2 linked regions of the Neurospora crassa OR74A genome follow. The protein of the gene in region 2 interacts with the protein of the main gene of each other region in a pairwise test. Links are inferred from orthologs where the notes say so. Each region holds a gene or a part of one and is shown on either strand. Other genes may lie near its edges. The genes, in order: NCU03905 and NCU01820.

What was found.
Region 1: the proteins of NCU01820 (region 2) and NCU03905 interact in a two-hybrid assay, tested with the Saccharomyces cerevisiae proteins (4 studies listed by BioGRID). The link is inferred for Neurospora crassa OR74A from reciprocal best matches to the Saccharomyces cerevisiae genes CRM1 and YAP1.

What each region holds. Positions count from the first base shown.
Region 1 is NC_026506.1:2,106,364-2,110,282, forward strand, and holds the start of NCU03905 (hypothetical protein), read right to left. Parts: upstream 2,975-3,919; 5' UTR 1,901-2,974; coding exon 1,451-1,900; intron 1,381-1,450; coding exon 639-1,380; intron 572-638; coding exon 253-571; intron 196-252; coding exon 1-195. UniProt on the Saccharomyces cerevisiae protein: Transcription activator involved in oxidative stress response and redox homeostasis.
Region 2 is NC_026502.1:2,295,698-2,299,616, forward strand, and holds the start of NCU01820 (exportin-1), read left to right. Parts: upstream 1-980; 5' UTR 981-1,601; coding exon 1,602-1,667; intron 1,668-1,735; coding exon 1,736-1,765; intron 1,766-1,839; coding exon 1,840-1,912; intron 1,913-1,980; coding exon 1,981-2,052; intron 2,053-2,131; coding exon 2,132-2,856; intron 2,857-2,909; coding exon 2,910-3,919. UniProt on the Saccharomyces cerevisiae protein: Receptor for the leucine-rich nuclear export signal (NES).

The sequences.
Region 1 (3,919 bases), on a different chromosome or scaffold from region 2:
TTTTCCTCTTCACAGTCCTTCTCGCACCTCGCCATTGCTTCAGGACTTAGGTGCTTTTTCAGAACACTCTTGAACTCCTTCTCATCAACCACAGCACCATAGCCAGAGCACTTTGCTTTCTTCTGCAGATCGGAGCACAAGGCGTCCATATCAATCTCTTGGTTTTGTACACTGGAGCAACTGCGCAATTTGTCCCTGTTGAACATGTTAATAAAAGTCACATTTTCGAGGCCTCTCTCGGTTTGGTCATACCAGATCTTGCTGCAATCAAGTTGCTCTCTGACTCCATCATCCGATGCGTTGACCTCATCGATCTGAGCGATGAGATCCTTCTTCGGTGGTTGTGATTCTGCTTCGGGTTGTGGTGGCAGCAACCCTGGAGCTGTTGGTGGCAGATTATACGGTGCCAGGAAATCCGCATCGAATGCATCATTGGTCAACCAATCGTCAAATCCATTGTTGAGGACATTGTTCTGAGGCTCTCGGTAATCTCCGAAGAGCTGCGGATCAAACTGGAAATTGTCTTGAGGCAACCAGTTGAGAGTGTTGTCAACACCAAAAGTATTAAAGTCTAGAAAGTGTTGGTAAATTCTGGCCTATACAATCAGAGCGAACATTGAAGACTGGTGAATGCTTACCTGGCTGCCCTGAACCAATGACGCCTGGTTGCTCTTCTCCGATTGTGGCCATCGTATCTACTGACTTCAATCCGACGGGCGAATGAGTTAGAGGCTCTGGGGAGGTGCCACACGACGAACTAGCGCCACCCATGTTCGAAGCGCAAGAGGACGGGGAACTCGTTGACGTGCCGGCCCCCGCATTGTACTGAGAATCTGTTCCCCTGGTCGAAAAGTTCGCTCCCTCACCTCTTGCGGACTGAGGTGTGAAGAGATCGGCCGAGTAATGGGCCAAGTCTTCCTTGGTTTGTGTATCAAGGCCTATTTGGCCGTAATTGGGTGTAGTACCGGTGCTGACGCCATTCGTGGGTTGCTCCAGCCGACCTGTTGAAGACAAAGGGGGCGACACAGGGGTTCCCTTCTTGGTTTGATTTGCAGATTGTGGTCCAGGAAGAGGACCGCCAAACTTGGGGAATTCAAACTGGAAATTGACATCATTGAGGTTGCTGACAAAGGAGTTGCCGAACGGCATAGCCCGAGGTGATACCATCGGGGGTCGAGCTGTCATCAACGATAGACGCTTCTTGTACTCGTTCAGTTCGTTACTCATCTTCTCCATTTTCTTGCGAAGAATCTCGTTCTCATGGTTGGCAGTCTCGGAGATCTTCTTCAACTCTTCGACCTTGGTTTCAAGGTCCTTCAAGTGCTTTTCTTTGCGTTCTCTGAACGCTCGTTGAGCTGCTCGATTCTGGGCCTTGCGTTTCTGTTATTGTCACGTTAGTAGTCAATCCTTACTGAGACTCGAAAGGATCAATCGACCGAGGCAGGCTTACCGAGCTGGGCTCAGTGGTAAGAGGCTTCCTGCCGGGCTTTTTGGCAACTTTTCCCTCGCCCTCTCTCCTCTTTGGTTCGCTATTCTCCTCCTCGTCGTCATCCGGATGACTGCGCTTGTCGGGGGACTCCACATCGGCGGAGCCCGACTTGGAATCACTTGGAGCATTGGACCGATCGTCCGTCATGTGGGATTGATCACCAGTGTCGAAGTTGAAATCGAAGTTGGGGTCATGTTGTCCATCAAGGCCGTAGTCGTAACCGAAATTCGGGGTGTGCTGGAAACCCATAGGGTCGAGTCCTTGGGCAGACGTTCCGTTGTACATTGCGGATAGACCAGAGAGGTCGGCTTGTGTGTTGATGGGCTTGTTGGAATTGAGGGCGGCAAACAACAGGCTTTGTTGCTGCGGGGTGAGGACGAGATTGTGAAGAGGGTTCTGAGTCGACGTCATTTTCGGTTGTCTTGTATTGGAGATGGTGACTAAGAGGTAGAGCAGTCGGTTGAATCGAGGAAAGACCTTGGATGTTGAAAGGATGGGATGAATTCACTCTCGTGATCTGATCGCTCCTAGCGGTCGGAGCCGCACAGGCGGCAATTGTCGAGTATCAAGACCGCGGGTCCAATGGCAATGTGTTTTAGCGGAGGTCCGGGGTACCGGGCCCAAGATGTACGTATGTCCTGGTCGAAAACTGATGTCGGGGTAGATCAGATGCTAGTACGGGTGACGATAGAAAATCTCTTGCGGAGACGATGACGTTTCGACAGCACCGTAGACTGACTTTGGATCAGACGGGGACGAGCCAGCGGCCACGCAACTAGCAGCTTGAAAGGCAGAAAACTCGTTGAGCGTTGCGGGCTAGGACGGAATACCAAACCGGGCAGTTCCAGTTCCTGTCCAGTTCTCTCCCGCTTCTCTAGTTTTCGAGACTCAAGTCTTCTCCCAAGGAAGACGTTCGGTGTGAGGTGATGGGGTTTGCCGGGGGTCAAAACGAGAGGAAGGCAGTAGGATAACTTGAACTGAGACAGAAGAGAGGGGACTTGGTCCGAGTGGCAAGTTACAAAAGACGCGGATGTATTTGCACGGAATAGGTAGAGGTACCAGGGCGAAGTTGTGGCAGAAGGTGTAGAGAAGGGGGGAGAAAATTGCGAGTGCCCGAGATGTGAGCCGGAAAGGTTAACTGCCTGCTGGAACAGAACTAACCGTTGGCCGAGCCGAGTGGGTGGGATGGCGGCGGACGCTGACTTGAATTGATGGGCAAACCTATCGGCCTGACACCTGACTCACCTGGCACTCAGCCTTTCGGAATCCTGTCAGCAATTGGGTTCAGGAAATAAGGTACACGTATGATCCCGCGGGGGCTCCTTTTCTGCGATTGGAGAGGCGACGGCACAGGCTGCAGAGCAGGTTTGTGTTTCGTTGGTTCGCTGATACGATTCAGATCTGAGAAGGGAAGGACTCTTGGGCGGTCTTTGGCGATGGAGGGGACGAGACTAAGCGAGACCGTCCAAAAGCGGGCGAAAAGAGTGGACGCTCTTCTTTGGTTACAGGGCCAAACTCGTAGAATGCGGGCTACACGGGGCACAATTGGGCGCATGGACGCTTGGGGGTGTCCAAGTGGAGCGTGGAGGGGTTTCAGTCCAAAGTCAATTTGTCAGCGAAAATCAGTCGAAGGGAACGTCTGGATCGTTCCTGGACGGTCGGGTCGGGTGCGCCGTGACCGGCTCTGGCAACTGTCAGCACACCTTGACATGCCGACGACACCCCGAGTCGATTCGTTCAACAAAAGGACTGACAGTGAGTTCTATCAGATGCAGACAATCAATCAAAATCAGTCGGACCGTTTCCACAAAAGGTACCTCTATGTCGGTATCTTTTCCTATAAGGGATTTCTCTTGTTTCATTGCGTCCCACTACGTAGAGGATCACATTGACCGATTTGACGTGAGTGGGCTTCAAGCAAGAGCTGCCAGTGTCAATCTCTTGAACCGTACAAAAAAAGCCACTTTTTGTTTGACCTACACGTGTATGTACTACAGTATGTAGTTCTAGTCGGAGCCTCTCGAGTGCAGCCCGTCCACTTTTCATCGACGTGGAAATACATCAGTTTCCGCGGGTACCCCAAGTGGAGATTCTTGCAGGCAAAACACCGGAGTGGATAATAAGTGGCCTTTGTTCGACGGTGAAAGAGATGCACTCTCCTCTATCTCCGCATCAACTTGAGTTTTACAAACCTTAACCACAAATAGTGTACACTACACGTGTACTGTGTCCAAGCAAACAACAGCCAGGGGCATTTGTTTGAAAAATGGGCGCACTCGGTGTCGTGATTATCACCGTCGCAATTAGCTCGAGTCTGGCATGCTGGTTTGCCACTGAGACCTGAGTTCGAGACCCAGTCTCCCCATTGAAGATCCCACGTTGTTTCCGTCTTCCTGTCGGCAGTTCAGACGCCTCGTCGATAGGAAGCCC
Region 2 (3,919 bases):
CTAGTGTACCAGTGAAAGGGACATAGTGTACGTTGGAGAAGGGAAGGGAAGTAAGTACCGAGGCTAGACGAGCAAACCTCAACTGCATAGCCGGTAAGTACGCCTGGAGCTTTTCGTCCTCGTCTTGGACAATCCCAGGGTAGCAAAAGCGGGGCAATCCTGACGCCTGGGCATCTCCACTGGGGAAATATTGATACGGAGCTATCAAGTGATGTACATGGCAGCTGTACCGGATCGATGGGCCGCAGTGAAGATGCGGAGATATCTCAGGATAGCTATATCCGGTCGACCTATGTAGTGTAGAGTTTCAAGAGCTGTGTTTGAATGGTTGTCCAGACTCGGGAAGCAGAAGGTCCTTAATACTGACATATGTATGTTGGTGTATATGGAATGGTGGTGAAATGGTATTACCTAGGTCTGTTCGTTAGGACAAGAGCGGACTTTGTGTGAGCTAGGTTCTGAAGTATCTATGTACAGGCAGTGTGCTATCCCAAGTTAAATAGCAACTGAACCAAGCATAAATTACCCAGTAAACATTCATTTGGTGCCGTTTGGGAAGAATATCCAGATATGATGCTGACATATCGACAAGAACTTTTCTCGGAAAGCCCACGATGGGTCTCAGTTGGATGGCTTTGGGTTGCTGTTAAGACTACAAGCAGATAAATACCGTTTTGGGTTGCGCGGACGACATCTGGAACCCGACGTGGTCCCAGTGGTGAAATGTGAAAAGAACGACTGGAAGGGAAGCCGTCCCAGAGGCGCGGAATCCCGTGGTCCAGTCCAAAGGTCCAGCGAGCGCGCGCGGAGGGCGTCACCTCAACATCCGTCAACCTCCGCAACGAACAAGGGCGTCCTGGTGGACGTGCATGCCAAATCGGAACGGGAGGCTGGTGGGGTCCATCACGGTTCGGCCTTTCTGGGCTTTCGACCCGATTCTCAATGCTCCCTCCAGTCCAGCTCCAGCTCCATAACCTCCGTCATCCCACTGCAAATTGAAGTGCACATCCCACTGCACCGCCGCGCGCAGGCCCCTTCACGCCTCTTGCACTTCTGCAGCCTCGAGGTTCGCTTCATTTTTTTGCCAAACTGTGAACCTTCCATTTGACTTGCACTGATCAACACGCAACACTGCACTCGCAAAAACGCCAACCCAACAACCCGACTCGACCCGTTCGTTGTTTCCTTTCTCTCGCTCCAGGCTCGCGACCACGACGATTGTGCCCCACGTCTCCTCCTGTCTGGATTATTCATTCCATCTCCCGGCCCCAGCAACCCGGCCGTCAAGCCAGCTGCGCTTCGCTTCGTTTCGTTTCGTTTGGCACGCACCGTGACCCGGACAACCAAACAGACCTGGACCTAGGCCATTCACACACCACGTCTGGACCCAAACACCCCTCACCTCGCAATCCCTCCATCTACCTTAGTCCTTTTCTCCCCGCCAGACCAGCAACGAGCTGTCGATCTCCTCCCATTTGTCTCGCCGAACTTTGGTAGCAGCAAACCCATCCTGCTCGAGACTATCCACTGTTCAGCTACCCGCTGTACCCATACCTTGCTACCAACCCCTCTGCATCCCAAATCAGTAGAGGAACGCGACCATGCCCCTCTCCATCGAGGAACTGGACAACCAAGTCCGCACCTTCTATGAAGGTCGCGGCGAGACGGTAAATAACGACGCCGGATTCTGGTTCGCCCTGTGTAGATGCTGACGTTCTGTTTTCTGCTTGAATAGCAAGCTCAGGCCCAAACCGTCCTGAACCAGGTATGTCTGCCAATAGCCAAACTCGACCCTCCTTTGTCCTGACAGCCAGGGCTAACATAGCATCCTTCAAACAGTTCAAGGAAGATCCCGATGCCTGGTTGATGGTCGACGAGATCCTCCAGAAGGCCACCTACGAGCAGACAAAGTGTCCGTCAATCCCGCCTACGTACCAGACAGTTCATATCCAGAATGTCATATACTGACAGGGTTTGTAGACTTGGGGTTACAGGTCCTCGACAATGTGATTATGACGAGGTGGAAGGTGCTCCCCCGCGAGCAGTGTCATGGTACGTGAAAACATGGCCATTTTGGAAGCTTAATGCCCCTACAGTAGCTAACTTGTCTCTCTCTCTCTCTCTCTTTCAGGTATCCGCAACTTTGTCGTCCAGTATATCCTCCAATGTTCGAGTTCCGAAGAGCTTCTCAAGGCCCACCGTGTCCTGCTCAACAAGCTTAACCTTGTTCTCGTCTCCGTCCTCAAGCAAGAGTGGCCTCATAACTGGCCTACCTTCATCAACGAGATTATCTCTGCCTCTCGCTCGAGCCTTTCGATCTGCGAGAACAACATGATCATTCTGCGACTCCTCTCCGAAGAGGTCTTCGACTATTCCGCGGAGCAGATGACGTCGACAAAGACACGGAACCTCAAGACCACCATGTGCGCCGAGTTCTCGCAGATTTTCCAGCTTTGCCAGGAAGTTCTCAACTCTGCCAACCAGCCCAGCCTTATCAAGGCCACCCTCGAAACCCTGTTGCGCTTCTGCAACTGGATCCCTCTCGGTTATATCTTCGAGACCCCTCTTATTGAAACCCTTCGGACGCGTTTCTTGGAGGTTCCCGAGTTCCGAAACATTACTCTCCAGTGCTTGACCGAGATTGGTGGTTTGCAAATAGGGGGTCCTACGGGCCAACAGCCCAACTATGGCGAGGCCCTCATCAAGATGTTCACCGAGGTCCTGACGACCATCTCCAACATCATTCCTCTCAGCATGGACTTGAAGGCGACCTACCCGGCCAGCAACTCTCGCGACCAGGAATTCATCCAGAACTTGGCGCTGTTCCTTTGCAATTTCTTTGGCATGCACCTGCCCGTAAGTAGCTGAGATTTGTGAGCTCATGATCGTAGTACTAATATGGTATCTAGCTCATCGAAAACCTGCCGAACCGTGACTTTCTTACACATGGTCACTATTACCTAATCAGAATTTCGCAGATTGAAGACCGCGAAATCTTCAAGATCTGCCTCGACTACTGGCTCAAGCTCGTCCAGGAGCTCTATGAGGAGATGCAGGCCTTGCCCCTTTCCGATATGAACCCTCTTCTTAGCGGTGGTCTGCAGACCAGCGGCGCCCCGAACCCCGCTCTGCTCAACAACTACCCTCTCCGCAAGCACAAGTACAACGAGATTCTTTCCAACCTGCGTGTTGTCATGATCGAGAAGATGGTGCGCCCCGAAGAAGTCCTCATTGTTGAGAACGACGAGGGCGAGATTGTCCGCGAGTTTGTCAAGGAAACCGACACTGTCCAGCTTTACAAGACCATCCGCGAGTGTCTCGTTTATCTCACCCATTTGGATGTGGTCGACACCGAGCAGATTATGACCGACAAGCTCGCACGCCAAGTCGATGGATCCGAATGGTCATGGCACAACTGCAACGTTCTCTGCTGGGCTATTGGTTCTATTTCTCTCGCCATGAACGAAGAGACGGAGAAGAGGTTCCTTGTTACTGTTATCAAGGATCTTCTTGGACTGACCGAAATGAAGCGGGGCAAAGATAACAAGGCCGTCGTCGCCAGTAACATCATGTACATTGTCGGACAGTATCCCCGTTTCCTCAAGGCGCACTGGAAGTTCCTCAAGACGGTCGTCAACAAGCTGTTCGAGTTCATGCACGAGTCTCACGAGGGTGTCCAGGACATGGCCTGCGATACTTTTATTAAGATTGCCAAGTCTTGCAGACGCCACTTTGTTGCGCTCCAGCCTAGCGAGTCTCAGCCTTTCATTGAGGAGATCATCAGGGACCTTGGCAAGATCACTTGCGACTTGACTCCTCAACAGGTACATACTTTCTATGAGGCTTGCGGCTACATGGTAGCTGCTCAAGGCAATAGGCACCAGCAGGAAAGGCTGCTTTCTGAGCTCATGCAGATTCC